2 linked regions of the Schizosaccharomyces pombe genome follow. The protein of the gene in region 1 interacts with the protein of each later gene in a biochemical or structural test. Each region holds a gene or a part of one and is shown in the gene's direction. Other genes may lie near its edges. The genes, in order: scd1 and scd2.

Evidence for each region.
Region 2: the proteins of scd1 (region 1) and scd2 form a complex in vitro, tested with the Schizosaccharomyces pombe proteins (2 studies listed by BioGRID, with this or other methods).

The regions. Positions count from the first base shown.
Region 1 is NC_003424.3:3,513,743-3,530,282, forward strand, and holds scd1 (RhoGEF Scd1), read left to right. Parts: upstream 1-1,804; 5' UTR 1,805-2,087; coding exon 2,088-2,112; exon of another isoform or gene 2,113-2,190; coding exon 2,191-4,784; 3' UTR 4,785-4,992; downstream 4,993-16,540. Other genes in the region: protein Pos1, read left to right, coding at 287-388, 445-1,152; rsm7 (mitochondrial 37S ribosomal protein uS7m), read right to left, coding at 5,152-5,397, 5,485-6,018; transcription factor TFIIH complex subunit Tfb1, read right to left, coding at 6,800-6,877, 6,921-7,464, 7,522-7,705, 7,751-8,413, 8,459-8,545, 8,583-8,628; SPOM_SPAC16E8.18 (uncharacterized protein), read right to left, coding at 8,908-9,231; protein Png3, read right to left, coding at 9,394-9,902, 10,183-10,254, 10,302-10,356; SPOM_SPAC16E8.13 (ubiquitin-protein ligase E3), read left to right, coding at 11,562-13,205; AdoMet-dependent proline dimethyltransferase tae1, read right to left, coding at 13,414-13,599, 13,642-13,751, 13,853-14,120, 14,267-14,327, 14,365-14,399; translation initiation factor eIF4E tif45, read left to right, coding at 14,417-14,643, 14,712-14,886, 15,021-15,275. UniProt on the Schizosaccharomyces pombe protein: Required for mating and morphogenesis. May contain a cryptic binding site for cdc42 that is enhanced by binding Ras. Interacts directly with scd2. Promotes the exchange of cdc42-bound GDP by GTP.
Region 2 is NC_003424.3:2,375,407-2,391,353, forward strand, and holds scd2 (Cdc42 GTPase complex scaffold subunit Scd2), read left to right. Parts: upstream 1-7,097; 5' UTR 7,098-7,765; coding exon 7,766-7,774; exon of another isoform or gene 7,775-7,827; coding exon 7,828-9,429; 3' UTR 9,430-9,747; downstream 9,748-15,947. Other genes in the region: kap114 (karyopherin/importin beta family nuclear import signal receptor Kap14), read right to left, coding at 1-817, 874-979; ppa3 (protein phosphatase type 2A), read left to right, coding at 1,949-2,109, 2,176-2,246, 2,359-3,050; SPOM_SPAC22H10.05C (cleavage and polyadenylation specificity factor complex subunit), read right to left, coding at 3,322-4,620, 4,766-4,837; SPOM_SPAC22H10.06C (uncharacterized protein), read right to left, coding at 5,914-6,195; metallothionein Zym1, read left to right, coding at 6,324-6,476; SPOM_SPAC22H10.08 (uncharacterized protein), read left to right, coding at 10,501-11,859, 11,916-12,035; protein Cbp8, read left to right, coding at 12,327-14,267; alp21 (tubulin-specific chaperone cofactor E), read left to right, coding at 14,680-14,834, 14,873-15,141, 15,184-15,283, 15,330-15,605, 15,649-15,947. UniProt on the Schizosaccharomyces pombe protein: Required for mating and morphogenesis. Interacts directly with scd1 and with cdc42. May bridge and facilitate scd1 and cdc42 interactions.

The DNA.
Region 1 (16,540 bases):
ATTTTAATCAGAACAGTTGTCTAAGTGATCTGTGGCTGTAAAACGTTAGAAAGCCGGTTTCTCAGATAAAATACCTTAACTACAATCGAATTACTAATTACCTCAAAAAGTTTCGATTCATTTAGACTAATCTTCGTACTCATAAAATATTATTTTTACAATACATAGTTATAAACATTTGTTACTCGTTTCGCCAAGTCACAATTTCCGCTACTCATAGTAAGTACTTGGAGCTTCCATGTTTTAAGCTAGTGCCAAACGCAGTATATTTTCGACTGTAAGCGCGATGGCCTTTTCTCCAGCTAATTCCTTTTTAATTAACAAGTCGATATGTGAGAGCAAAGAAGTGGAACCTTTAGAAGCCAATTTGTTTGGCAAATTGCACAATGTATGTAAAGTTTTAAATAGAAACATTAATTCAGTGTGTTAACATGCAAAATTTAGAAATTATTAATTTGCAAAGCCAAAAAAGAAAATTTGGAAAAGAAACTGGCATATCAAATGATGTACTCGAAGCTTCTCAAATCTTTACCCAAGTTAAGCAGTCTAGAGGAGAACAAATTAACCAAACTAAAGGCTCCTATAGAGGATATGGAGAATACGAAGAAAGAGCTGGAAGAAATCAGGAAACAATCCACTGAGACAGAGTTACGTTATCTTAAGTCTCTATCGAACACTTTGAGCTTTGGTACATTATCTTTATCAAACGAGATTAACAAGGTTGGTCCTTCAGCTTCTTTTATGCTGAAGGAAGTTCATGATAGCGTACAAGTATTGGAACAACGACTTGAAAAGATGGGTCTCATCGAAAAGCCATCCGAATCTTCTGAATCCTCTATTTATTCCATCTTGGCTTCTTTAAAACATACCAACGACAGTTTACAGAAAAAAGAATTATCTCCTCATGAAATTGCCGAAAGTCCCTCTTCTCATTCGACCTCTCCAATGGGAAGAAACGTTGACACAGAAACACTGTCTTTTTTACTTATTGATTGGCAACGATTATGTGCAGAACAAAATACCTTTTTACGTGATATCACTAATAATATGAGCTCTTCTGTTCCTCAAGATGTATTATCTCAACTACGACAATTTTTCTTCCGAAGCGAGTTGTTGTCAGATAAGTTGTCAAACTTGTGCTCCGAGTCCTAGTCCTCAAATCTTTCCTATTTTCCCTTACTTATCTTTGTTCTTTCTGTCAAGCACTCACTCCTTTTACTTTAATATTTTTGTTTTCAGTCTTTTTATTAAGCCGTTACTCTCGTTATCCCTGTTTTATACTTTTAAGTCATCAGGTCCATTCGTTATCATTTTACTACTGTATTTCAATACGTTCTTAACATTAATTTTTTTAACTTTTTTGTCTCTTCTTATCAATTGAAAGGCTGAATTGGTTTATTTAGCATCGTCGTCCTTTTTAAAGACCTCACTCTTTTCTTGGACATCTACCTTTCCTACCAAATTTGTGTCTTACTAATTTTTTTTTTAATTCCCGTTCAATACATGATTTTCCTTGTTACATTACTAAAACAATCGCTCTACTTAATTTATTTACCAAATTTGCAAGCTTGCCTTTTGTAATCGTTTTAATATTGGGATGGTTGGAGATATCCCTTCATTTTTTTAGCAATGAAATTTCAGTTGCCAGCTATTTTATCGTCATAATATCTCCGTTTCAAAAGACTTAGCAGTAGGATTTTCTATCAAATGAACTGAAGAAACAAGTATATTTACCGTAATACATTTACGATACGCTATTCGATTCAACTGATCGCCAAGTGTCTCACTATTACCTTAGTACCTTGTCAACTATACATACTGTGATTTTATCAATTGCAGTAAAACAGCAACTTATTTTAGACAATTTTACTTTGGAGTCAGTTTTAATTTTTATATTTAATTCCAAAGAAACTTCAGGCTTTTTTATGTTTAAGAAATCTTGAAATTGGGTTGTTGGTTTGAATTTCCATTAATTGTTCAAGCATTGGACTACATGCGAGTACTTATACTTTTCTAGCAGTTAAAGGAAATTTTATTTTCTGTATTTTACTGCATTAGGAAGGAGTCTCGAGAAGAAGTTATCAGTTATGGCCTACTTTCAGGATCGCAAAAGTATGTAACGATTGAAAGAAATTTAGAACACAAAAACGCCATTTATGTGTATGCAATTAACTAACTAACTTCTAAAAGCATCCTCTAGGTCTCTTCCTTCTTACATCAATCACAGCACCCAAAACCTTGTAGGTCCTCGTAAAGATGAGACTAATCTGTCAGAATACATGAAACTTAGGCTTTTACAGTCTCCGTCACAAGTTATTTATAATTTAGAAAATACGGTTTCATTATACAGACGATGTCTAAATCTCCGGAAGCGATTGATGGATATATCAGAGTTGGCTGCTTTCTTTGACAGTATTCATCGTGAAGCCTTGAATAGCTCTTTCAAAATACTGGAATTTAAGGACATTGAATTTGATGATCCAGTTACGGAAATTTGGCTGTTTTGTCGTTTAGGTTATCCATTGTGTGCCCTGTTCAATTGCTTGCCAGTTAAGCAAAAATTGGAAGTTAATAGTTCGGTTTCTTTGGAAAATACGAACGTGTGTAAAGCTAGTTTATATCGTTTCATGCTCATGTGTAAAAATGAACTTGGACTCACAGACGCCGCCCTTTTTTCCATATCAGAAATTTATAAACCCTCGACAGCTCCACTTGTTAGAGCTCTTCAAACCATTGAACTTTTATTGAAAAAGTATGAAGTTTCCAATACCACAAAATCATCTTCTACTCCTAGTCCTTCTACTGATGATAATGTACCAACAGGAACTCTTAACAGCTTGATTGCATCTGGCCGTAGAGTCACTGCCGAATTATATGAAACCGAATTAAAATACATTCAAGATTTAGAATATTTGTCCAACTATATGGTCATACTTCAACAAAAACAAATTCTATCCCAGGACACTATTCTCAGTATATTTACGAATTTAAACGAGATTTTAGACTTTCAAAGACGTTTTTTGGTTGGTTTAGAGATGAATCTTTCGCTTCCTGTAGAAGAACAACGACTAGGCGCACTCTTCATTGCCTTAGAAGAGGGATTTTCTGTTTACCAAGTGTTTTGTACAAATTTTCCGAATGCTCAACAACTGATCATTGATAATCAAAATCAGTTACTGAAAGTTGCGAACCTGCTTGAGCCCTCTTATGAATTACCAGCTCTGCTGATTAAGCCTATACAGCGTATATGTAAATATCCGCTTCTCTTGAATCAATTACTAAAAGGTACTCCCTCAGGTTATCAGTACGAAGAGGAACTAAAACAAGGAATGGCTTGTGTAGTTCGTGTAGCAAACCAAGTTAATGAGACTCGTCGTATTCATGAAAACCGAAATGCCATTATTGAGCTTGAACAACGTGTGATTGATTGGAAAGGATACTCTCTTCAATACTTTGGACAACTGCTAGTTTGGGATGTTGTTAATGTATGCAAAGCCGATATAGAAAGAGAGTATCACGTTTACCTTTTTGAAAAAATTTTGTTATGTTGTAAAGAAATGTCAACTCTGAAACGGCAAGCCCGAAGTATAAGTATGAACAAGAAAACTAAACGTCTTGATAGTCTTCAACTGAAGGGAAGAATTCTGACATCCAACATCACTACTGTGGTTCCCAACCATCACATGGGCTCATATGCTATTCAAATATTTTGGCGTGGTGATCCTCAACATGAATCTTTTATTCTTAAGTTACGTAATGAAGAAAGTCATAAACTATGGATGTCCGTTCTTAATCGACTTTTATGGAAAAACGAGCACGGATCTCCAAAGGATATTCGTAGTGCTGCTTCGACCCCTGCTAACCCTGTCTACAATCGTTCTTCTTCTCAGACTTCAAAGGGTTACAACTCCTCCGACTATGATCTTTTACGTACACATTCTCTTGACGAAAATGTTAATTCTCCTACAAGCATTTCCAGTCCCTCTTCCAAATCTAGTCCGTTCACGAAAACTACTTCTAAGGATACAAAGTCTGCCACCACAACTGATGAAAGGCCATCGGATTTCATTCGTTTAAACAGCGAAGAATCAGTGGGTACCAGTAGCCTTCGTACTTCGCAAACAACATCAACTATAGTTAGTAACGATTCTTCATCGACTGCATCTATTCCTAGCCAAATCTCTCGTATCAGCCAGGTCAATTCGCTATTGAACGACTATAACTACAATCGTCAAAGTCATATAACTAGGGTGTATTCAGGTACTGATGATGGGTCTTCAGTCAGCATTTTTGAAGATACATCTTCATCAACGAAACAAAAAATTTTTGATCAACCTACTACTAATGATTGCGACGTAATGAGACCTCGTCAATATTCATATTCAGCGGGTATGAAATCAGATGGTAGTTTGCTCCCTTCTACTAAACATACTTCGTTAAGCTCGAGTTCCACGTCTACCTCCCTATCAGTTCGAAATACCACGAATGTTAAAATTCGTCTCCGTTTACATGAGGTTAGTCTCGTCCTGGTTGTTGCTCATGATATAACATTTGATGAGCTGTTAGCCAAGGTAGAACATAAAATAAAGCTTTGTGGGATTTTGAAACAAGCTGTTCCTTTTCGGGTTAGACTGAAGTATGTTGATGAGGATGGCGATTTTATAACCATCACATCCGATGAAGACGTTTTAATGGCATTTGAAACGTGCACGTTTGAACTTATGGATCCTGTCCATAATAAAGGAATGGATACTGTGTCTTTGCACGTTGTTGTTTATTTCTAAACTAGCATTGTGCTAGCTGTACATTGTCAATTTAATTTATATAGAGGAAATTAACAGTTTAGTCGATGAACTAATTTACTTTCCCTTCTTTGTTTTGAAAAAACAACAATATACTTCATAGAAGATAAATTCTGTAGCATTTCCGTTAACTGAAAAGGAGCTGTAGAAGAATGTTGATGAATATTATGAAAGTTATTTTACAACCAAACTATAACCTCATAAACATGAATATGATTAACTGCGCACTACGTAGTATAATTGAGTTGATAACTAAGAGTAATCAATTCTCGATATACTAGACAAAAATAACATTACTAAAAGGGAATGCAATTCATAAAAAAGATAAAAATGTACGGAATTTTTGTTTTTATATACGAACGGGTGCATTACCTCTGTTAACAAGGCACATTCTGTGCAGATGATCTTTCTTTTTGAAACAATTGCTTGTCTTGCTCCTGATAGCAATGATTTCTTTAACAATACGATCTGATAATCTTTTAGGACTTGATGATTTACATTCACCGAGGATCCATTGTAACGCAATCCTTCTTCGCTGTCGCTCTTTCAATGGCATAGGAAATTCGACACTTTTGTTAAATCGCTTTGCAGAAACCTATCAAAATATTAGCAAATCCGTCTACACACTATAAAAAGAAATAATTCACAAAAAATTCCAAAATTTTCAATAATTTCGACGTACCAACTTCATTAAGGGAGAAATCTCAGCGATTGCTTGTTTCAAAACATCTATAGGATTTTCACCGGTTTCTTTTTGTATGATAGAGAGCGCTGTTGCAACAATCTTTTCAGCTTTAGCTTTTTTCCCATCTCGCATTATTAAATTCACCAAATGCTGTACTGTAGAGTCGACCTGAAATGGTCGATCTATTAACCCTACAATTGAACTTGACGGAGAAGGCCACAGATTTGTACCCATTAGCGGCGGTTCTTCATTTTCAACTTCAATTTTTTTCTCTAATTCACCCATAAAATCGTCGGAGGCAGACTGTTCGACAGAATCTTGAAGTTGATTCAGTAAATTTTCGAGTCCCGCATTATCCCATTGTGGATTTGAACGTTCATTGATATCTTCAATTTTTTCATTATATTTTTCATTTGAGGTAAATTTTCCAACTTGAAAAGTACGAGTCTGATGGATAAAAACAAGCGACTCTTTCATCAAATGTCCCGAACTCGCACATCGAAACAAAGGTTGCTTTATGAGTCGTAGCATGGCCCTTTATTGTTTGTTCTTTCTTCTTGAATGAAATTTTTAAAACAATTACTCTTATTAATCAAAGCATGTAGGAAAGCTAAGGTGTGCGTAGATGTTTAAGCTTAGTACATATACACTATGGATAAATGAAAGAAAAGGGAAGGGAACTAGGCGCTAGCGTGCTACATTTCAAAGTCGTTTGGCTATTTATTTATTAACTTGAAATAAGATAAATTAGGTAATCGATGTTAAAATATTCATCATTAATTGTGTATCCAAATTTAATACTTGAGCTAGACACAGTTTTATTGGGATCATACAGAACTGATACCTTGAAAGAAAGTAAAAAAAAAAGTTATATATAATATACAGAGAAGCGATAAATTGAAAAATTGTAAAAACAAGCATTTAAAACAAAAGAGAGAAATTATGGGACATTAATTAATTGAACATCAGTTTATAACATACTATATTCGTGTCATAAAACGAATTTTAATAAATAATAAAATCTATAAAGACATAAAAACATTAGATTTTGGCCTATGAGCACAGTAATCTAAAAACAGTTTTGATTGTCTTTTGAATCTATAAACCAAAACAAAAGTTTTTTAATTCAAGAGTTGTATAAACAGAAAAAGAGCCATATCCAGCATTTCAATGTTCATTTTTTCCAGCCTTTATGAAGAAAGAACATTAAGTCCAATAAAGAATATATCAATATATCATTAACCTCTATATGGAAAAACAGAAACAATTACCTTTTACAAGCACAATTGAGTTTCCAAAGACATTATCAAACCTAAGCAGGAGGATAAGACATTCGTCTTTGATACTCCGAGATTGACGTATCAATAGAAGTGAGCGTACAGGATACCAACTAATCCTAGTTAATAATCAAAATCTCTACAAAAAAAACTTACCTCATAAACCAGTTTTGGATCAACGTTTTGTTCCTGAGCCTGGCTCGCAATTGCCTCCACCCTTTTTTTCGAATTTAACAGAGCATTCTGAAGGGGGGCCATCGCCTTCTTGTCCGGGAAAGTTGTATTCAACAAGGCATTCCAAAATTGATGCAAAAATTCTATCGTAACGGTATGGCACAAAACAATTTCATTTTTTATGTCAATAGGTAAATTTGATGCAGTGCCGTGGGTCTCAAACTCATGCTTTTCGCGCATACTCTGAGTAAGCTGCATAGCGGCTTCAGCCAAAGAGTCAGAATCATGTTCAATGTGATTTAAGCTTATCGAATCTTCCTGGTATAAATGTTGAAGAGCTTCCAATGAAGGCAAAGGCTCTAAACCAACTTGATTTTTTGAGGGGACAAAATTATTTTCCAATAACTGATCTTGACCTTTGATTTTTAAGACAACTTTAGAGTCACTGGCTTCTTCTTCTAAATCGTGAAAACCAGATTCTTTTAAGTATGTTTCTTCATTTTCGTTGTTAAATCGTTTAGAGTTTCTACAAGTTGTTAGGCATACCGAAGCAATAACAATTAATAAAACCGAATATACATACCCCAAACTTTTTTCCAAAAGTCTTTCCGAAAGCTGATTGATGTTTTTCATAAACGGTAGAGCTTCTTTGTCAATTCGCATAGTGATATCAGGTCTAAGTTCTGCTATTACATTTGCATTTTGATCATTTCCTTCTAAATCAAAGAGGTGCGATGCAATAGGTTCATCCGATACTTTGGTTACCTCTTGAAAATGTTAGAAATGGAATTCATCTAGGTTGGAGAAATTACCTTCATTATCTTTTAAATACTTATCCATTATATCATCAGAGGGATCCATTGGTGTAATTCTGTCGCCACGAAGCTTTTTACAAAGCTTGGAAAGGAAAAATCTACTCCAAAACTCTCCTTCTGCTAGAGGAGGCACATGCTTGTCATATACCTTTCGGAGCAATGGATGTTGTTCAAACATATCGTGAATTTGCTGGCCGGTAAGGGAAACTTTCATTTGGTTGTCCACTGTTTTAGGTTTAATAGTAGACAAGACATTATAAGGACCACGCTGCTGAGACCTTTCTACAGCATGAGCGCGGAGCAAATGAAGCCTTGTGCTCCAAAATTGCTCATTACTTAAATGTCCCTTCATAACTGCTTCCTTAAATGTTTGTAAGAGATCGGGATTGTTAGTAAGCAAAGACTCTTGTAAGTCGATGTCCTTTTCTAGATTCGTAGAATTTACACGATCGACATTGGCTCCTTGTGGTTTAGATTGAGAGCCTTCCCTTTGTCTTTGTATCGCATTTCTCAACTCATTAGTAATCATATCACAATTTTCTCTGGCATTAGGAGTACCGGTGAAATGAAATACTAAAGAAGTGGGATCTTCACCTTCCTTTACTACTATAAAAACACGAATCATAACTTTTGGATTAGACGCTGGAGTAGTTTGAAGATCTATCAATCTGTCAGTAATCTCGAAAATGCAACAATTATTATTACTCGAAATTGCATCAAAAGCAATATCTACTGATGGTGTTGTTTTCCCTTCCCCCGTCCATTTTAATCTACTATCGATAGATAATACGCCTGCATGTTAGAATCATTGATTTAATTGTTATTTTACCTTGTTTTTTTCTGAATATGGCTAATGCTTCTACCCTGTCTCCCATCAGATATTTTGGTAGTTGTGGAATACACCGCTAGTCTTTTACGAAATTATCAAGATTTGTTAGACACAGGATGAACATTGGAAACTACGAAAATCATTAGAAAAATAAAAGTTTTGAATGGTTTCTTGATGTCCCAAATCATATACACTTAGATTTTGGGTAAATATATCCTCATTAAGTTGAGCTATGAACATAGGTAACCTATAAGAGACAGTTATCTAAAACTATAGCCCTGTTTTATTTTTAAAAAAATACAATATGAATTAATCATATACGCAATCAATCCGACCCTTCAGAGCAGTAGACAAGAGTGGTTGTTGTTCCATAAAGTACAATGCGTTTATCCCAGGTAATACGATATATCTCAGCCAAAGAGAAAGAACCAACATGTGAAAAGTAATAAACTATCACTACTAAAAGTTCAAAAGATTCGTAATGTCCGCCAAAAAACTGATAGTGGCTACAAATAGAATTTGTAGAGTAATTCAAATGTCTAAATACGTTCCTTTCTAACATAATTCCTGGTAGTATTATCAAGTAATTGTTTCCAAAACATGCAAACTCTTTAAACGTAGCATTAAGTATGAAAGAAGTTACCTCCATTCGAATCAGTATGGAAAGACATGAGTTTATATATGTTTTCAAAGTGACTTCTGTTGAATGACTAGAATTTAGTAGCTAATCCCGGATAAACTATTATTAGTGTATTTCAATTAGAAAAACAAAAAAGCAAGAATTTTAATAATATAAGGCTTTACGTAAGTTTCAAGATTTATTGTAAGAAGAAACGTTTGCACTGCTCTCTGAAGAATAGGGAGAGAATTGTTTGATGTCGAGGTCTTCATTTGTGGTCTCGGTTAATTCCTCTGTCTCTGGTAGTTTACCAGAATCCGTGATTATTTGCTTTTTATCTCCTTCCTCCGATGCGTTTTCAGCTGCTAGCAATTCTTTAGCACGGCGATTCCTTAAATTGGCTCTCCGCCGGGATGCTCTAATAGGTCTCGAAGTTTTTTGCTCTTTTATAACCTCTGGAGTGAAAGGAATAAAAAAATTTGGTAATTTCATTTCCATCTTTTGATAACAGTGTTCTAAACGTAAAACATTACTATGAGTAATTGCCTCTGCATACATTGCAATGTGGGATTTTTTTCGAGTTTGTACATCATCGGATTTTAACAGTAATGATAAGTTTCGAGCGACTAAATTACGACGTTCAACACTAGTATCTCTGTTAAGAAGGTCATCAATTGAAGAAAGAGCTTGTGAATACACATCTGAACATGTTAATCATTTTAAATCAGAAAAAGGCAAGCTCTAGATAGGCAAGTTTTGATAAGAACAACATAAACTTATTATAAGCCTCAGTAGCGTTCAAGTCCTTTTGAATAACATATTCAAGGTTCAAACAAGTCCTAAGCAGATTGATTAAACATTAACAAAGAAAATCAACACCAGAACGGTTTCACTAGTAATCTTTCATTTTTTTGTTTATTATCAAAACCTTCACAGTTGTTCAAGCAAAAAATCCCAATCTATAATGCCACTATCACTTACCCTTTAGTTCAGCCTCTAAAAAACGGACTTCCGTAAAATTTTTGGATAAATCACCCGGTATAGCTTCCAATGCTAAATAATGTAAGAAAATTATTTATTTACACATGTTCATTTATTACCGTCAGCAAGTTGTATAAGAAGATCCAAGTCATTTTCCTTTTTTGGTTTTGCCATGGCTGACGACTTGTCGATTATATACAGCTATTCATGAGGATTCTTTCTAGTTTGACTTTTATTACTTGCCCAAGGTTAGCATTGCTTTTTGCTTCCTTTTGTTTACGTCTGTAATATAAGTGCAATCGAACCAAAGAATCTCGGTTTTCCACTTATAAGGCTTGCTTCAAAGCTTTTTCAAAACTTTATTTTATATAGCTGTTCTCCAAAACACACCTAGCTTCTTTTACTTGAGTATGAACTATTGTACCTAGTTGGTAGTGGTCGTTCATGAAATGCGTTAAACTAGGAAAATATCGTCCCGAAGAAATACGGGATCCTCATGGGTCAGTGATCAGTTTTTATAATAAAGTAAAAAATTCAAGTCATTTTAAAGTATGTTCATTTCAAAAGGTTGCTTGCATTTTAGTCAATGGCCAATCCGTCAGCTTAATTAAGCACATTCATGTTTTCATACGCTTGCTTGGCACCTCTGGTTCTTTTAAGAATACAAAATTATTTTTTTAGTGATGGTCCCAGTTTATTCAAAACTATCTCCTTCTAAATGGGCTGAGAATCTGAGAACTTCCTGAATGGTACCCCCAGAATATACTAAATACATGCTTGTTAATTGTTTTTTTTAAACCGACGGGAAGAAAAGGGCAGAAACAGAATACAACATAAATTGTTATTATATTATAAAATATGCGGTTCTTGGAATCATATTAAAATCTTATCCTAGAAGTATACAACGCGAGACCGACAAGTAATTGCATAGAAACATAGCTCTTAAAGAATCGATTTTGTAAGACACTTGACCAATTGTAAAAGAAAACGAATTCCTAAAATGAAAAGTTTTCAATTCAATTTTTGCATGTTCAAATTCATGTATAATTTCACCATGCAGGCTTCAAGAGTGAGTGAATATTCTATTTTAAATTAATGCTATTTTTCTAGCTGAATAAATCCATTAATAAAATTGCTCATTTTATCATTATTTATTAGGATTCATTTTAATCGTATTGATCCGTATCTATTACCAGTAATTAAAATGAAAGTTCTTACGTAGTTCATCTAAAAATTATTTATTTTTCACTTAAATTTAAAAACTTCTCAAAAATAATAAAGGATTTGGTGTTACTAACATTACAGACCTCAGGTATTCTATTTCTACTAACACCATGCCAAGTCGTTTAGAGCCATTACCAAGTATTGATGTTTAATGCATGTATTACTACTTAGAAATTGAATGTGAGTCTCCTGTAAAAGATATTTTTACCTGTAATAAAAGGAGAGCATCTAAAGTTGTTGGTAATTCTTTTGGAGGCGATCATTTTAATTTTCGATTGGGTGAAATAAAGTTATTATCAATGGATTTTCCATCTTCTAAAGTTCCTGAGGTTGAGGAGACATCTCTTGGACATGGCGTCGTTCATTTATACAGGGTATTTCCTTCAGAAAGCCATGAATTTGATGCGCCAGGTCTAATCCTTGCGATATTGGCAATTCCCTTATATATGTCGCCCTCCGATGTATTGGGTTTTTTGGGAGAGAAACATTGCAAGTCAATCCAGCATATACGTCTTCTTAAGACGAAAGATCCAAATCGGATCATGGCGCTGTTGAAATTCAAGGATCAAGCAAGTGTTATTAGGTTCTATACAGAGTTCAATGGCAAAGCTTTTAGCCAAATAGATCCTGAAACTTGCCACGTTTTACATATTGACAAAGTAAATATAAAATATCCAATGGAGAGCTCTGATTCTTCTTCAACTGAGCAGCAACTAGTAGGCCCTTCCTCCAAACCTTTTGCTTCTACGACTCCTGCCCTTATCGAGCTTCCTACATGCGTTGTATGTTTAGAACGTATGGATTCTTCAATTACTGGTTTAATTACCATTGTGTGCCAGCATACTTTTCACTGTCCATGCTTGCAAAAATGGGGAAATTCATCATGTCCTGTATGTCGTTATACTCAAAAAGTACAGAGTTCTGAATTTCAGAGCAAATGCACTGTATGCTGTTATGATAAAGATTTATGGATTTGCTTGATTTGTGGTAACATTGGATGTGGCAGATACCACGATGCACATGCTAAGCAACATTATGTAGACACCGCTCATTGTTATGCTATGGAACTTGAAACACAACGTGTTTGGGATTACGCTGGAGATAATTATGTTCATCGCCTATTGCAGTCTGAAACAGATGGTAAATTGGTAGAATTGTCGACAGACGGAAAGTCTTCAGGCTGGACTGGTTCCAGCGCTACGGAATCAAAACTGCGGGACAAGATGGGACTAGAGTATACGCAGATTTTGGTATCACAACTAGAGTCGCAGCGCCTTTATTACGAATCTCATCTTTCTAATATGTCTCAAAAGTTGAGCCGTGTTAATGAAGAACTCGTCTTAAAGACCAAAATAGCTACGGCCTCTTCAAATGCAAATACAGATCTTCGTTCTCGCGTGGATATTTCTGAATCCAAATTAAAGAAAAGAGACGACAAGCTTAAGCGTGTCTCGTCTCAATTAGAGCATTTGAAGCATAATTATGAAGAAGAAAAAAGTATGAATGAAAATTTGCTGGTTCGCATTCAGACATTGGAAAAGCAAAATACAACAAAGAGCGATCAGATCGTTTCAATGCAATTTCAAATTAATGATCTTAATGAGCAACTTAGAGACCTTATGTTTACTATTTCTGCGTCGCAGGAGATTCAAAAAATGGGCCAATCCGAAGAATTACAGAATGGAACCATCGTTCTTCCTAATAACTCTACGGTCAGGTCTAATTCTGTTAAAAGTAAGAAGAAGAAGAAAAAAAAACCAGTCGTTCCCAGCAGTTCTGGTTCACTAGGTACAGACTGATATATTTTTACTACACATTTACGAGAATAACGTTTCATTTTTTCAATTTATGTTTGCATATAAAATAAAAATATTTATTCTTTTTGTTCTTATTACTTTTGTAAAAGTCAAAGCTGTTTCAGCTGGTTTTGGTAGTCCCTTTTTCAACAATAGTAAGAATCTCGCGCTTATTTCAATTGTCAACCATCAATTTCGAACAAGTTTAAATTTACGAGGAATGAGGAACAAGTGCATACATTTTCACAGGAAACAATTCTTCAGGAAAGCCATGTTGCAGAGTTTCTGCTACAACTACTAGGTTTGCCTTTTTAAACAGGGACTTCAGAGACTGTTCACAACGTGTTACGCTACTATCAATAGGATCAAAGGTGTCCTCAAAAGATGAAACATTTTCCTAAGAAGTCAGTTTTTTCCTACTCACATATGGGATACGAACCTTTACGCAAATGACTCCCTTCTCTTGAATTGCTTCACAACAGCGGCTAAGATAGGCAATCAAATCCTCATCTGTGAGATGGGACAAACACCATTGGTTCCAAATCAGCCCTAAATTTGTTAAAATTTGTTAAGATGACAAGCAAAGAAGTGGATCCTAGAGATTAAGCCTCATCTTGGACAAAATAAAAGCATCTAACTGATATACATACCATAACGGTTTTTTTCTGGAGTCCAATTTTGTAATCCGACATTTATGAAAGAGCAAGGCTTGGTTGCAAGCTGTTTTTTTGCCGTGGATATGAAATTTTCAACAGGTTCCACAAGATCGACATGAGAGGCTATCTTCAAAAGCACATTTTCAGTGACCCTTCCTATACCTGCACCACAATCAGCGGCCACTAAGTTTTCGATTTTTCCTATACGATAATTGAGACGATTGAGAAAAGTTCGTGATCCCACTACATCAGTTTGAGGAATCTGTAGAATGTTAATAATACAAATTATTTAAATAAATAGTCTTAAAAAAAGATAGAGATGTAACAGTAAGTTGAGATTGAGTCTTTTGAACGTTTACACCCGTTTTCTAAAAATATAATTCTCTTGGTAAATTTTCTTTTACATACACGACCAGTTCCCAGCCCTCCAAGCATTCCATCTACAGTTGGTTGAACTCCATTCCAATAGCTATTAAATTAGCCAAATTCTGTAAGCTTTCACATACTCAATCGCATCGCTATAAAATTTCTCGGGGTCCATTCTTTCTAGCCAGAACCATGCAGACTGAACAACCACCAAAAGAGTCACAGACCGAAAATACCGTGTCAGAACCGCAAGAAAAAGCTCTGCGGACGGTTTTTGATGACAAAATAAATTTTAATTTGAAGCATCCTCTTGCTAGACCATGGACTTTGTGGTTTTTAATGCCACCTACTCCTGGCTTGGAATGGAATGAACTGCAAAAGAACATAATTACTTTTAATAGCGTAGAAGAGTTTTGGGGGTAAGTAAATTGCTTATTCATTATTGTGATATTATAAATTGCTTTAACATTACTAACATTCGATTCAGAATCCATAACAATATCAATCCTGCATCTAGCTTGCCTATTAAGTCTGATTATTCTTTTTTCCGTGAAGGAGTTCGTCCAGAATGGGAAGACGTCCATAATAAGACTGGAGGTAAATGGGCTTTTCAGAATAAAGGCCGTGGAGGAAACGCTTTAGATGAGATGTGGTTAACTACGGTAGGTTTGATTGTTTTTAATGCTATGAGAAAAAGGTTTTTTGTAATATTTTTATTTTAAGTGAATACTAAAAACAGTTTTTTCACTCTTTTCTTTACTTTTTAATTTTTGGTTCGCAGCTAATATATCGCTAGGTTCTCGCGGCCATCGGTGAAACTCTCGATCCTACAGGCCAAGAAGTAATGGGTGTAGTTATTAACATGCGTAAAGGATTTTACCGTCTAGCAGTTTGGACCAAGAGTTGCAACAATCGTGAAGTGCTTATGGAAATTGGTACTCGTTTTAAGCAAGTTCTCAACTTACCCCGATCGGAAACTATAGAATTTAGCGCTCATGAAGATTCTTCCAAGTCTGGTAGCACTCGCGCCAAAACTCGCATGAGTGTTTAAATGATAAAAACGCTCTTTGTTTACAAAATAACTTTGGAGTTTAAAAGGTCCATGCTGCATAGCTAATTTGCTTATAATTGAAGAAAGGGAATTATTAATTAGCAATATACATATATTTGTGCGTATTGGGTGTATATTCCCAGGGTTTAAAAAAAGTTGATTTGAATTAATTTGTTTTACATTACTTTTCAATAGTATTGTATTATCATTACAGCGGAAGTACAAAAAACGACCTTATTGAATGGGTGGATAATTTTCGAATGTAGGAGTGCTGATGAGTTGCAGATGTCTTATCTGCTTTTCTGTAGGTAAAAGCATGTGAGCTAAAAAGTGGTCGAGGAATGAGATGGGAGAGACTGTCTAATCAAAAATCGTTTAGTTTTCCTTTTACATAATAATATTGAAAAAACGAGCGTTGGTGTCCCTTCTCTTCAATTGTTTGCATAATCGTAATACAGTATTCAAATTAGCAATGAGGATTCTTTCGGTGCTTTTAAATGTGACAATTCTGGTAATTATTTACTTTATATTCAAACACTTATCCATTTTGTTAAAAGGTTTGTTTGCTTCTTGTACTTAACTTTGAATCTATATGATGATTTTGTAAATAGTGTATTGAGAGAGAAGGAGAGTCAAAATTGCTTTAATTATTGCAAAAAAGTGTCTTACAAATTCAGCTATGCCACCATAAAACTAAGAATTTATTGCTCTAAAAAAGAAGCATTCCCTTGGCGAAAAAATATTGGGGAAAATCTACCAAGGGGCCAATTTCTTGTTAGACTTTTGTTAGCCCTCCTTCTTAAGTTCTTTCAATTTCCCTAATAATTGAATGGTATTATTTCTACCAGTTTACTACTTATTTTAATTTTGTTGTACAAATCATAGATATTATTTTACACAGTTTTATAATAGTGAAATCCGTTAGTATTTTTTCTAAGTATTATTTTTTATTATTATAATGGATAAATATTACTATATAACTTTTTAGCTAGGAAATAAAAATACTCATATTTTAACATCAAGGTGGTATAGCGCTTTCAAGCAATTTGTGCTAAATGACATTAGTATCGTAGAGAAAAGTTAAGGATGCTTTGTAAGATTTAATGCGTCCGTTATTATTCGTCCTTTGAGATTTCAAAATTTAGCTATGGAGATCTGGTCTTTTCCATGCATTGAATTGGTTCATGTAAGTTTTTTTTATATAAGAAATATCATTTTTTAAATAGTAGCACTTTATTGTAAATTTTTGAAATAATTGAGATAGC
Region 2 (15,947 bases), 1.1 Mb from region 1:
CCATCGCTAAAAACAACTTCTCGTATATATGGATCTAGTAACTTTTCTATAATATTCCAAACAAGTTCGACGAAGGTCACAACGTACGGTGTCAATTTAGAAGGAAACAATTCGCGAAGTTTTGTAAGAGTCATAGCAATTTCTCCCATGATACAAAAATAACCACAGGAATCAGGTAAAATAACTTGTCGATCATCAACGAGGGAAACTTCAAACTTGTGCGAGAACATATCCATCCAAGGGGGAAGTATTTGTTCAAGAAATACACGAACATGTTCAGCTTTCGTTTCTTTATAAATCTCAATAAGTTCTAGGCAAGAACGAAACAGTTTAATTCCTCTAGCTTGCAACATCCTCATGGAATCATTAGGGGGAGCGGAAAATATAAACTGATAGAGAATGGATGCAAGTTGAGGTGCAATAATAAAGAACTGTTCTTCAACAAGGGACTCATCTACAAGCTCGTCCAGAACATCCAGTGAAGCATTAATAGAGTTTTCATTAGTAGATTGTAAAAGATGCAGAACGGCCGGTACAACTTCTGGCCATTCATCGGGATAATCCACGTTTGCAATTAGAGAAACAGCATATGCCACAGCCTTGATTAAAGTGAAATTGTCAAGGCTCACTAAAAGATGTAATAGTGTTTCTCTGACATGTTTTTTGACATTTTCATCGGGTATCGGTCCATCTTGAAATTGCTCAAACAGTGGAGACCAATGGTGAACAATATATCTTTGTAAATAAATGAGAGAACCTTGTCTTAAAGGAACAGAAGCACCAGAAGATGCGATATCTGTTAACTTCGCAGCAAAATCTTCGTAAAAGATAGTTAGTAATTTTTTCGGTTAGTTTATAGCTTAAGTAGCATACCGTGATATTTCTCAAGGTCTCGTAACCCCAATTCGGCTTGTATTCTTGAATTAGGATCAGCAGATTGCACTTGTTCAAGCAGCTTAATGATTTTGCTTTCAACCATTTAGCGTGATAATAGACGTTAAACAATTGGTAGGTTTTGATGCTATCTGCTTAAAGAAAGTAGATAATAATAAATATATTTATGTACAGACGGGTATAGTTAACCCCTTAAAAATGGCTGTATTTAATAATTTTTTATGCAGGTATAATGCAGGTACTACTAAGAGTGAAATGTTACTAGGAAATTCATGTTCAAAGAAGTGGATGGTAAATAGGTGACATTGTCACTTAAATTGCTAATGTCTAACAAAATAGTGTTAATTGAAACAATAATTGCTTGTATTGTTGTTCATTTAAAAAAAAAATTAAAAAGAAAGGCCATGTAACTATTACTATTTTCATTCTTGATTTTCCTTATATTTTAATGTATTGCATAACTGAGTTTTTTAATGACCGACTGATCTTTGAATACAAGAATATACCTAATCAATTATCGCTTATTTTCAACCGAAATATTTATCTGATGGTCTGAAACGAGAGAAGCACTAAACCTTTTCAGCAGAAGAGACAGATATTCATATAGAATGTCTGAAAGAATTTTAACACGTTTTTCAAGCATTATGTAATTTTTGTTCTTTGGGTATACCATTAGAGGCTTTCTTAACTTAAAATCTCATTGGCGAACTACACAGTATTATGTATTAATCGTGTAGTTTCGATCACTGACAAGTCAGAAACCAACCTCCAAATTTCATAAAACTGACACATACAACATTTTAGTGGAATTTTTCTAATGCGTGCAAATAAAGAGAAGTAACGCGTAAGCTTTCCATATAAGAAGTGCTTAATCCTTTGTTTTTCGAAGCGTATCCGGTCAAAGCCGATTAGACTGATACAAACCTTGGGTGAAATTTTCCCTAGCCAAGCACTGTTTGTGTCTTCTTAAATTATATATATCCAATACAAAACGGTGCAAGACATTGTTTTTGTATTTTAATAAATCTCACTAGTTTCACGGAAATTCCTAAAGATGATTGACCTCGATAACATAATAGAGAGATTATATGAAAAACAATTGATTGCTGAGTCCGTTATTGCTTATCTTTGTTCTCTCGCAAAGGAAGTTTTAATGCAAGAAAGCAATGTTGTCAGGTTGTCTACTCCCATTACCGTGGTTGGTGATATTCATGGGTATGCATAGATTCAATATTGCAAAAAGTTCATTCTTTGTGGACATTCTGCTTACAAAGTATATAGCCAATTTGATGATCTACTTGAAATCTTTCGTATAGGAGGCCCATGCCCATACACAAACTATCTTTTTCTCGGTAAGTTAAAATGATGTTCATTAGAATCACATTAGCTGATTACTACAAATCATTAAAACTGAACATTGAGAACACAGCACATGCTTTATTATTCGTTGCTAACTATTTGAAGGTGATTATGTTGATCGGGGCTATTATAGTATAGAAACTATAACCCTTTTGATATGTCTCAAGTTACGGTATCCAAAGAGGATTACTCTTTTGCGCGGAAACCATGAGTCCAGAGGAATAACCCAAACCTATGGATTTTATTCAGAATGCTTAAGAAAATACGGTAATGCTAATGTTTGGAAATATTTTACCGATATCTTTGATTTCCTAACACTTTCTGCAACAATTGATGACACTATTTTTTGTGTTCATGGTGGACTTTCTCCTAGTATTCAGCACATAGATCAAATCCTTGTCTTAGACAGGTTTAGAGAATTCCCACACGAGGGACCTATGGCCGATCTCGTGTGGTCGGATCCGGATCCTAGCGTGCAAGAATTTTCACTTTCGCCCCGTGGTGCAGGTTTTTCTTTCGGTGAAGTTATTGTAACAAAATTTCTAGAATACAACAATATGAAGCACATCTTACGAGCTCATCAACTATGCAGCGAAGGTTATCAAATATTGTTTGAAAAAAAATTATCGACAGTGTGGTCTGCCCCAAATTACTGTTACAGATGTGCCAACTTGGCTAGCATCCTTCAGATCGACACAGATCAATCAAGATTTTTTAATGTTTTTGATGCAGCTCCTAATCAAGAAACGCCTTTTGTGGAGCCAGCTGCAAAAGTGACAGCGGAATATTTCCTTTAGCTGGACCTGAATTGACAAATGTTAATTTTTTTCTAGCCTCTTTCAATCTATCCTTTATGAAGTTACTGTCGGCATTATATATAATATTTTCAAATCATCGTTCATTAATCGTCGTGCTTTGTAAACCTAGAATTACAGAACAGCGCATCATGCTTGTTTTTTAACAAAAAAATAAGTTTATCTAACGAATATATATAAATGATATAATTTGCATAATTTTTAGTACTCTAGGAACATGTATAATAAGCTCGTGTAACATTAAACGTTGAATTTACTCCTGCCATTTGCAAGTTCCCATTATTAAAGCATTGCTGGGAAGTTGTTCAGGAACTGGAGACAAAAGAGTCATTCTGTTTTTAACATCATCAACGTCCGAAACAAACACATATCCTATGATACATGAGTCAACAACTGTTGCTTCATCTTCATCTTCGCCGACACTTGAAACTGCTAAAATGGAGTTTTGTAAAATGGTCATTGCTTCAGTACTAATTCGCTCCAAAAATTCGCCCTTGCCATGTAATCTTAAAGATGTATTTCCATCTTGCTTTTCAGATTGAGTATTTTCTTCTTCAAACCCTAAAGGAAGGACAGAAGACTTAGGTCCGCTTTCAGACGCCTCCAAAACACGATACACTACCAGTTGGGTGGAATCAACTATCATAGACAAAGGAGAAAGAGGCATCCGATCATCACCATAAAAGTATTGCTTAATGCAACGAGCCTGAAATTGTTGAATCCATTCTTCTTCGCGATCAATACAACCACCACTTGATGAAACTTTCACCACAGACAACCAGGTCGCATCAGCATACTTACGTTTCATACTGCTGTACAATCTCTCTGAACCAAGTACAATAATAATGTTAATGCGGAAGTCTGTAATTATAGAATGAAGGATATCCTGATACTTCTCAGCATTTTCTTGAATGGATGAAGTATCTACCAAACAACCAGACACTCGGGCATCTTTACTTTGGGACATTCTAGAATGCACCGCCAAAGCTAGCCTAGATAATGAAAGCTTATAAAGCTTAGGATTATCAAGTGGTGAATCCAAACCAAAGTTATATACCAGTGGTACTTTGGCAAGAACGTGAGTAGGACCAGTAGATGTGCTTGCACCAAAGCCATCAGCATCCTGAATGTCAAGAATAGTGGCATTGTGAAATGCAGAAATAGACCCAGGGAGAGCCAACATTGGTTGAGTAGGATCAAGGTTAACACAAATTGGATGTCGAGATTGTTTCAAAGCGTATGATTCTAAAATCTTCAAGACACTTGTTTTACCACAACTTCTTGGGCCAATGAGGCAAACACACGGTCCATATGAAGACTCATCATTTGCAGCGGCATTTTCGGCTTGTAATCTAAGGCCTTCCAAAGCAAAATGCAAATTTAGATATGTACTCATAGGAGTTTCTTCAGCAACATACTCAACGGACGGTTCACCTTCAACTTCTAAAGTACATCCCTGCCATGTATATATCGCTCCTTTAACACGAGTAAAATGATATGGTGGACCTAAAGCCAATTCAGTGCCAAAATATTCTGCATTTCCAGACACGAGCTAAACATGTTAGGAAAATACTTCCAAGAAAGAAAAAAAAAATTTAAAGAAAGAGTTAAATAAATTAAGTAAATATTTGCTAGAATCTGAAGTAGCAAAAGTAAGCTACTTCATGTCGTAAACAACAATATCACCACGAACTTACTCGAATTTGAATTGCCGGTTCGTCGACCTCAAATCTCCATTCACACTCTTTCGGAATGAAAATTTCTTTCATTTCTTAAAAATATAAATGGATCTAAGCAGCAGCTGAGACCGCTGACTGTTCAGGATGAAGACAAGAGAAGCTACGAAAACTATGGTATACTAACTCCATCTGAAGTGCAGATAACGAAGAATATGATACTTCGTAAAATGTTAGCTACTGAAGGGTAGTCAATATAACGATATGTGCCACAGTTGAGTTTTTATTATGATGCTATATTATCTTATACTGGACGACTTATGACAGAAAATAAGTATATTTTTAGGCCCATAAGTTCGTACAATATGTGATTCTGTTAAAGGGAAAGTTGTTTAAAATGCAAGATAGCATGCGTTAAAACTTACTGACCGAACCTGAAAAGGTCCACTTGTAATACTTCCTGTGCAAATAAGTGGATACAATGTGTGTATAATCCACTCTTCAAGCGAAAGAAATAAACATGGAAAAGAGAGTATAATACTAGCGTAACGAATAACTAATACCAAAAGTTCGTGATGAGCTTCCGCGTAGACATTTATAAGTTGTGCAATGCCTCAGTTGTTCTTATGCCTAATTTCTATTCACTATTAATAAACGCTCGATGTTTTATTTTGCTAGAAGCTTCACCACGCGATTAAACATGTAAACAACTATATACTCAATCTATCTGTCAATATAAAATCTACTGATAAAGGAGTACATAAACATAGATAAGATGCATAAATCCAAAAACTTTATGCTTAGAAATAAATGTAAACAAACGAATTTAACCAATGTTTTCAATGTAATTTTAAGTTAAAGTTTGCAGAAACAGAGAATTCTAGAAAGTAGGAAAACTGTAGAACTATCAGTTTCAGCTTTTACTAAACTCGTAAAGACTTACTTTTGCGTATTTTATAACCAATGTTAATAGTGAATTTGACGGACAAAAGTGAATTCTGCCACACCCTCCTCATATATGCCCTCAAGTCTGATATTTATTCAGTTGGAAGGCATAGCTAGTCTGTATGAATTTAGAATCTTGGAGTAAAGCCATTGCGGCACCTACCTTTTGGCGGGAACTATTGTGGCGATACGAACGGAACCCGAGTATCAGATGATGTAAAGTGTTAATATTCCTTAACAGGACCCAGAATCAAAACAACACCAGTACTACGCAGAGATCTACCTTTACCAACTGGATATAATATTGAATATGATACAACTAACCCATTCTTAATATGAGATTGTTTTCTATTATTCATAAATTTATGTTCATTTGCTTTGTAAAGTCCAATCACTTCATTTGTTTGGTTCCATGAAACAACAGCATGATTTGTGTACAAACATCTAAATACGTATATGCATTTGCCTCTCCAAATATCCCTGCAGATCCTATATCGACATGACATGATACTGTCAATCCTTTAGCTTGGAAAATGTATATAAAGGCACCCTACTCTCACCTTTTTTACCACTTTAAGCGTGCTTGAGACAATCGACTTTCAACAACTCATATCACCCTAACAAACTTTCAACGATGGAACACACTACCCAATGTAAGAGCAAACAAGGCAAGCCTTGCGACTGCCAATCCAAGTGCGGTTGCCAAGATTGCAAAGAGTCTTGTGGTTGCAAGAGCAGCGCTGTTGATAACTGCAAGTGCTCTTCTTGCAAATGTGCTTCGAAGTAATCTATATGAGATTTACGGACTGTAGTTCTGGCCTTGACGAAATATTTCATCCATAAAGCAATGTCCGCCTCGTCTTATTGTTTTTCGAAGCATCAGTCGAGAAAACAATACTATTATGGACCAACGAATCGCCCTGATGTCTTGATCCTACTACATTGCTACTTTTTTACAGAGCATTCTTACTTACAACTCAACTCTTAAGATATGATTGTTATGAATAATAATGAAATCATAAATTGATTTATTTTCAACAGCTATTTTTGCTTAGCGTAGAGTAAGGGCATCATCTTCTTGGAAAATCGTCCACTATTGTGGATTCTTTTCCACAATAAATTAGTTTTATGTGCAAAAAAAGATACTCTGTATCAATTCAACCAAAATTATGTCTTAATATTTTAACGGCACTAACGAACGTTTGTTTCTTCCTTCTATACCATTGCTAAGTTAAGCTCTGTAAAGCAAATGTATACATTATATTTGGGTAACTACGGAATCTATTTTTCATAGCGAACGCTAATAGCGCGTAATCCTTTAAACTGTTTAATACTCATTATAATATAATTACGATAGTGAACTACAATGCTACGCGACAAAATTCACTTCCAGAATTAACTGAAAGGTAACTTGAACATAGAAGTTGTAGATCTGTAATTTTATACTTGGTAAGAGGGAAATTAATAAGAGAGTCAGTTGGGAAAAATTTTAATACGTTTCCTTGTTTAAAATTGTTGAGTTTGTATTCTTCTAATATATTACTTTGCTGCTTGGACCAACTCTCATTGTTCTATATTAAGCCTCTTTTCCCGTCCTTTTCTTCCTTCATCTATCTTTCAGGGCTCAGCAGTTCAGTCACTATAATTGAGTGTCTGCTAGCTTCTTCGTTCTTTCTAATTACAACGTGCTAACAAATCGATTTTGTCTGTTTTGTGAGAATATTATATCCTGTATACTCATCTTTCATAAAAACGACAGCGTTTTCAAAGTGTTTGGAAATTAATTATTGATTCATTTACAATATATTGCTTTCTTTAAATCCGTGCCATTCTTTTTGCCTTTTCTTCATACATTCCTTTTGCTATCTCGGATCTTAATTCATATACCCTTACAGTAGGTTATCGCTTTAACAGTTTGTCTGTAATTATAATTTCCACTTGATCGTTTTATGAAAATTAAGTTAAATCTTTTTGTTGCAGGGAATTCTAATAGTTAGAATCTTTCTGAGATTATTGTAATATAATTTCAAATTTTGTTCTACTACCTTCTTTCTTTTTGTTCTAATTCCAGTCTCTATGTTAAAGGTATGCTTCAAAAAAAATTTTTTGTTAATTAATCAATTATTAACCATCTCTAGATTAAAAGGACTTGGAAAACTCATAGTCGAATTCTTGATAAAGATCCTTTTTCAATTGAACCCCCGAGAAAAGTTATTAGGGCCCTTTATGATTACACAGCTCGTAAAGCAACTGAAGTTTCATTTGCCAAGGGTGACTTTTTTCATGTTATAGGTCGTGAAAATGACAAGGCTTGGTACGAAGTTTGTAATCCCGCTGCAGGTACTCGTGGCTTTGTTCCAGTATCTCATTTTGAAGAGATAGGAAAAACGGTCAAATCGGAACGAGACAGTGATGGCAGCGGGCAAATATCATTTACAGACTTAACCACCAATTCTAGTACCACTAGGAGCTCAATCAGTGAACTCCATTCTGGTTCACAGCCGCTATTTGGAATTGTGCAATTCGATTTTGCTGCTGAACGACCAGATGAACTTGAAGCCAAGGCGGGTGAGGCTATTATAATTATTGCTCGGTCAAATCATGAGTGGTTAGTAGCCAAACCTATAGGACGATTAGGGGGTCCAGGTCTCATTCCTCTTTCATTTATACAACTTCGAGATTTAAAAACCGGAGCTGTGATAAAAGACGTTAGTGAGGCTGTTTTACGTATTTCTTGCATACCTCGTGTAGAGGATTGGAAACGTGCGGCTGCTGATTATAAAAAGAGTAGTATTCCTTTAGGGAAATTCAGTGATGGTGAAACTCAAACTATGCCTAGCTTAAGTCCAAGCACTGAAAATTTACAAATTAATAACGATGTTACATATCAAGCTGCTACTGACAATTCAAGCACTTTTCCTGGTTCCGTCGCTAACGAATTAACACCTCTGCAAACATTGGAGTCGCGTACGGCTAGCATCGCTTCTAAGAACAAGAAAGACATGTCTTCTGAACCTACCGTTGTTGCTGCAATGGTGGAAAACTACATGATTCGCGATGACCAATATTGGTATTTGGTCCGTGCCGTTATGAGTGATGGAAAACATCGAAACCTTTGTAGATATTACGAAGACTTTTTTAATTTCCAGACGAAGTTTTTAGAGTTATTTCCTAATGAAGCTGGTCGTGGGGACGAAAGACGAGTTATTCCTTACATGCCCGGTCCAGTTGATGACGTTAATGAATTAATATCTTCACAAAGGGCAATGGATTTAGATGTATATCTGAAGGAAATGTGCAGGCTTCCAGCTCGTTTACTCGAAAATGAACTCGTCAAACTTTTCTTCTTACCGCTTGACGGAGACGTTGAGTCCCCTCATCCAACTAGTACGATGCCTGAAGCCTTACCCAGAGAACCGTTAAGTTTCTCTTTGCCAGAGAAAGCTCCTGAAAAAGCTACTAATATCTCTATTCCCGAATCAGCTCCGACTACTGCAGGTTCGACATGCAAAGTTAAAGTCAGATTAGGAGATGAAACCTTTGCTTTGCGCGTTCCCTCTGATATCTCATTTGAAGATTTTTGTGAACGATTGACTAATAAACTCGGAGAATGTGAACATTTGTCATACAGAGATACGAACGCGAATAAAGTATTACCTCTTAATAATGTTGACGATTTACGGAAGGCATGTTCTCAAGAATCAGGAGTTTTACTTTTTGCAGAAAGACGGAGGTTTTGAGACTATGTATATTTAAAGATTTGGGTTTCTTATTACGTTCTTGCATTTTATTTTTTTTTCGTTTCGTTCTTTCATGGTTTACTTTTATTAATTTAATTTCATCGGTATAATAGCTTTCTTTATCTTTCTAATATATCTGTCTGTTTTTTCGAGAGGTATGCGTTTTTGGATAGTATTTAATCACGACCGAATAAGATGCAAAATGTTTATTCTCCTTATATATTAGCTTTCTTGGAGGTAAAATAAACAAAAAATCTCAACTATGCACTCCCTTTTTGTTCACAATCATTCAATTGAATATTTTCATTAGTTGTTTGATACTGTTCCTCCAAACATATATGTATTTGACGTATTTCAAAAGGGGATAAAGGTAAGCCTAAGTAGTAAAATAAAAACGTTTTTATTGCGAGAAGTTCAACATTTCTTGACAACGTCTTAATCAGCTGAATCAACGCAGATTTGGTAATACAATATCATGTCGCAGTAATAAATTGGTTCATATGAACCAGCTACAATATCGATCACGTATATTATATACAGCCAATTTGGTAAAGGCAATTTTGCAAACTACCTGTTGATTCATTAAACAATTAGATATTGGAAGCCGGAAACGCTTTCTTCTATACATTTACTTCATTTATGTATACATTATTTCTTACATTTAATGTGACCACAAGTAACATGCTGCATACATTTAATCCAATACTAAAGACGCTTTATCTTGTTAGTTTATCTAAAATATTGCTTTACTACATGCATACTTTCCTTAATGCTTATCAAATTTCAAAAATAAAAAATGCTCATATAATTTCCTTTTCCGTATACTTAGAATGGTGGCATCTAAAATAGCGGTAGAAAATAGTACCTGTTGAAGTGACAAGTAGTGAACGCCCAACCTTCGATATAGATCAAAAAACAATAAATTACAGCTGTGCAGTTGCTTTTATTTCAACATTGCAAAAACACATGTTAAATTAAAATTTTTTTTTAAAGATTCCCTCACTTTAATACTTCCTCCTTTTAATTTATACCTGTATGATTAATTCATGAGAACGTATTCTTTACATAGACATGGACGCTGAAGCCTTAAGGAATTTGTATTTGTCATCCATTCTCCCCAATGAATCTAAAACGGGTAATGAATCACCTGAAAAGAAATTTTCTTCTCCTGTGTTGTTGCAAAGGGCCAAAGTGATTCCTTTGAGACTTGAATATGAAGAAAGAAAGCTTCTTCATTTACTTACTGCTGCATTGGATGTGAGTGATTATACCGACAGCGTTGATACCCTAAGCTTTTCGTCGCCAGCGAAAAGACTGGCTCAGCAATTGAAAGGAATTACTGCAGTTTTGTCGGGTATCATGGTTGCTTATGATTATAAAGTTGGACAAGAATTGCTTGAGCATAAAAATTTTGAACAACATGCCGAATTTTTTAAAAAGATTTTTGAAATAGGTCGACGTTATAAAGTGCTAAATCCCAACCGACTGGGGTCTACTTATGGGAAATTGATGTACTTTGTGCAAGATTCTATGCGACCAGAAATTCAAGACGCACTTGGATTTAACCTCTTTAAACCCATTTTGACTGTCTATGAATTTTTGAATGAAAGGGATGCTTTGAACGCATTAGAAGATCCTTATGCCGAAATTGCTACTATGGAAATAGTCGCTGAAAATAGATCACGCTCAGCGATTCAAAAAGATATTAAAGCGAAAGAAAGAGCTGTTGAACATATTGCAAAAAAGTATTACAGCAGCAAAATTACAAAAGAGAAAGTACGATGGTGTCTCTACTCTATTGCTGATAGTAACAGTTACTTGAGATATAATCGTGATCCAATTGCCAAACTCATAGGCTTGGTAGAAGCATATTTTTCTCCAGATACCGTGGACGATGAGTTTACTCTTGCTATTGATGCCATTAATGGCTCAAGACTAAAGCATAGTCATTACAAACAGTACCATTATGTTGTGCAAAGTTTGCATCTTTGGCTTTTAATTATGGGAGAAATATTTTCATTATGGGCTCTTAGTGATCTGGAGTTAACTAACCCAGATATGGAGTATAAGCTAATTGATAACAATCAAGGAATACACAGAATGCAGCCTTGTCCCAACATTAGAATTGCGATGGAAAGGATTTTGCGGACGGCTCAAGAACAGTCTGAAACATGGATAGGAAGTTCAACAATCCATCTCGGAGATACCGCTGTTCCAAATGCCTTATTGTTTATAGACAAGTATATGCAAGTGCCAAGGATTTTAACACCCTTGGTTCTATTGTTCAAGGAGTTAGATTCTTTAAATGACCATTCTCTTCTTAACTACATTGATACAGCTTTTGGAGGCAGAGAATATTTAAAAAAGACTATTTTAACCGATTTTATGAGATTCGGATTTGATGGATCTGGTGCAGACAATTGGTTTGATGTAAGTTAAAATTATCTATCTATATATATATCTGTTTAATTACTAACTAGCTCTAGGCTGGCAGTTGTATTGATGGACGTTTGACTAGTGCCTGGAATTGGGCAAACAACATACACACAAAAGATTACTATCGTGTACTTCTCATGTCCGGATTTCTTAGCTTCAATGGTGAGTAATTATTTAGTAATGGATTAAAATACAATCTTTTAAGCATCAGTTATTTTATTATTGCAAAAATGTATATAAATTCTCGACGTGTAATAGGCTCCCACCAACAACTGCCAACATCAGGAAATCTTATTACGTTTCGCGTAAATTGTTCAAAAGATTGACATAAATACACGTACCAAAAACCTTTATTTACTTTATTTTATTGAAGTTGGTTGTATTTAGAGATACTTTGATCGGTTTATACTTAGAATACTTTGGAGATTAATTTGATAAAGGATTAAACCTAGGATGCGTTTATGTTGAAAACCCTTAGCAAAGTGTCAAAAAACTTGTCAAATACAAGTGCTTTTCTTGTCAAGTCGAAACCCTTATACATTTCTTTTTGCACTTGCAAAGCGTACTTTGAAGACAATACTTCATTAAGCAGACGGTTTTTCTCTGCAAAAAAAAGTTTACAATTCAAATCTTTAATAAGAAAGTATTCTGAAGACTCTACCTTGGCCTGGAGAGATTATGAAAACTATAATGATGATGACCTGCTATATCAACGTGAGTTATCAGAAATATATAACAAATGTCTGAAAGCTCTGCATCCGTTTTACCCAGTTTTTGAGGTTAATAGTAACTTGTATTATCAGTTGCTAATGTTTACGAATTATTCAAATCCGAAAGATAATGGTTTTTCAAAATTGCTTTTCTCACAATATTCTGACGAAAAAAAGGTACTGGTAAATTTCGTATATAATGTGCTTCGTTTAGATCCGGATTTGCAAAGGCAAAAGCGAATTCTGGAGAGCATTATTTCAGCTGCCTTGAATATTTGCGTATCTACTGTAAATTTGAGTAGAACTGACTTAAAATCTTCTTTAAAAATAATTTTGCAAACAATTGATCTGTTTAAATATGACAGTTCATTCTCTTCTATATATTTTCGAAAAGATGGACCGTACCACAAAGTTGAAAAACTGCTGAAAAGCGCTAATATTCGCTCTTCACTTAATTCAAAAACTTTTAATGATTTCCGCACACTTTTCTTGCTTCTCATTAGAGATTACAGTCTTTTCCATGGAAATTCGAGCCATTGCATGTTAGCTAATTCTATGCTACCACCGTCTATTGCTTTTTCGAAGATGGAGAAGGCTGAAATTTTTTTACGTTTACGTGCGTTTTTTCAGCTTATGGAGCATATTGATAATGAAAGGATAACTCCATCTGAACAGTTTCTGGATAAAGTCTTTATATCTCTCCTTTCGGCTAAAAATAGCTGCTCTCTTAAAATGTGGCTCATTCACTCATTTAATAAGGGATGGCCGGTAAAAATTGAGTTTTTTGTTTCTTTTTTCAAAAATTTTTCCAATATAGTAGAAGGCTCTATGGAGGTCTATTCCGCATATTTACATATTATACGAGATCACTACAATTTATCTGATTTGGCTGACGTACAAGCAATTTTTCTTTCTCGTTTTATTTTATTAAGAAAGAAAGAAGATTGCAAAAAACTACTGGAGCATGTTTTACCTATTCGTCAGCTTTTTTTGTTAAATTGCTATAGCCTGCTAAATGTACTCGCTAATTACGTTGTCGTCTTTAAAGATCGTTTAATTTTTCAAGAAATAAATCAAAATTGGGAAGAGCATAAAGGCCAAATTCCGGAAAATTTTATTTTCTCTCTTTTGAAGATGTTTGGTGAAATGCAAGAGAATCAAGGTTTTTTGAATGCCTGTATTTATTATATAAACAAAAAGAAAAATTTAAACGAAGTTAGTCGTTATAAGATTAATTTATTATTACTACAAGGTGTGAATTCCTTCGAAGTAAAAGACTTTTACAGAAAACGAGGAATCGAAATAATGCCAAAAAACCTGCCCAGATTTTTTTGTTATTGTTTAAAAAAAAATAAATTAAGTTATGCTTTAAAGTATATACGGTTATCTGGGCTTCAGTTTGATTACATTGTTGATTGTTTCCGTAATAGCAGCGACTGGACCAGAACTCTGATTTCGATATTGAGCAAAAAAATGGGAACTGAATTCGCAATTCGTTTTTTAAAGATAATTTCTTTTCCTTTGTTATCAAATGACAAAGTTCTCCGAGAGATCGAATTTTTTGCCATTCACGAGGTAAATTTTAGAAGTCTCAAATGGGTTGCAGATCAACAATTGCGAATTCTCCCAGGATGGAGTTCTCGCCCCCAAAAAGCAACATTTCCTTTATGTACAGTTCATTTAAAAAAGTGATAATTCTCGATAGTGCTGCTTCCAATCTACATCGTGCTTGGTGCTTGATACATTTAAACGCATTGTTTGATAATTAATATATTCATTGGTATCAAGTTGTACTTTACGAGGTATGCAGCCAACAATAGATTATTTACATTAACATTGAGAGACTTAATAAAGCAGCACATTTAAAAATGAGATCGACATTAGAATCAAAACCCGTATAATAATAAGCAGTATTTCCAACTATTTTCCTAACAAATCTGATGCCATCTATATTATCACTACGTACTGAACACTTCTATGTCGCAAAGAAAAAGTGCGGTTAAAACTTTTTGTTGTAGATAAAAGACAAAATTTGAAAGAAACAAAAAACTTAAACTGCCCAAATTTTTATAGCAATCCATTTTCTTTCCCACGTTGATTAATAATGCATATATCCACTGGAATGGTTAGGGCTTCTATATCTAATACTTTAGTAACATTAACCATCGAAGGAAACAATGATCGATACCAAGTCATACTTGATAAAAACGTAAATGCAAAACAGTTTGTTAAAACGTGTTGGAGAAACAAAAAACCATTGTAAGATTGTTATTGACGACAAGAAACTAAACTATTAGAATTGTAAAAGAAGGAAAAATATTTGTAGACAAAGGATTCCCTTTTGATCCATGCAGAACATTTTTGGAAGCACTTTACGAAAAATATTCATATTCAAGTCCCCTACCTTCCTCTGTTGAATTTAAAAGTGGAAAACAGGTAGAATTCTGTGGTTTCGAAAAAATCCAAAGCAAGCAAAGAGATTTAAAAAGCTTGCGCGTTATTATTCTAGACAATTATAGGATTGAAGATATTGAAATAGAGTACGAGTATTCTAAAATACTACCTGGTATGTCACTTATTTTCAACTAAATGTTAACGGAATTTGTAGAAGTTATCGACTTAGATTTATCGAGAAATTTGTTTCATGAATTTTTTCCAATCCTTAAATTGTGTTCCCAGCTTCCTTCATTAAGAAATTTAACTCTAGAGCATGTGTTTTTGTTTATCTCTACACGTATATTCTAACTCTTTCAGTTCAAACTTATTTTCAAATTTTATTAGCTCAAATACCGTTCTTTTAATTCCTCATTTAACACAACTTTCAGTGAATGGATGTGGCCTAAACAGTAAAGATGTTCAATGGATTACAGAGACTTTTCCCAGTTTGGAAGTACTTTACCTTGAAGCAAATGAAATAATTTTATCAAAAGCAACATCTTTTAAAAATCTGCAGTTCCTTCAAACGTTAAGTCTTGCAAATAATCTCAATCTTTATAGTGCTGATGGCTATGCAGTTGATGTGTTCCAAGGGTAAGTATATTTGAGAAATACGAATTAGGTTTCTAATCTAAAGAATTAACAATTTGAATTTATCTTCTACCTCCCTCGCTGATGTTGCAGAACTACCTGTACACACTTTACACAAATTGACATTCCTTGACATATCAGAAAACAACATTAGGGATATTCGTTCTCTGGATCATCTTCGTACATTAGAAAACTTAAAGCACCTGCGTATAACACTTTCTTATTTTAATAAACCTACTGATATAGCTAAACTGCTGGTGATTGCGCGAATTCCTTCTCTTGTAAAATTGAATGATGTGAATATATCACCTAATGAGCGTTTGGATGCTGAGTTGTACTACACTT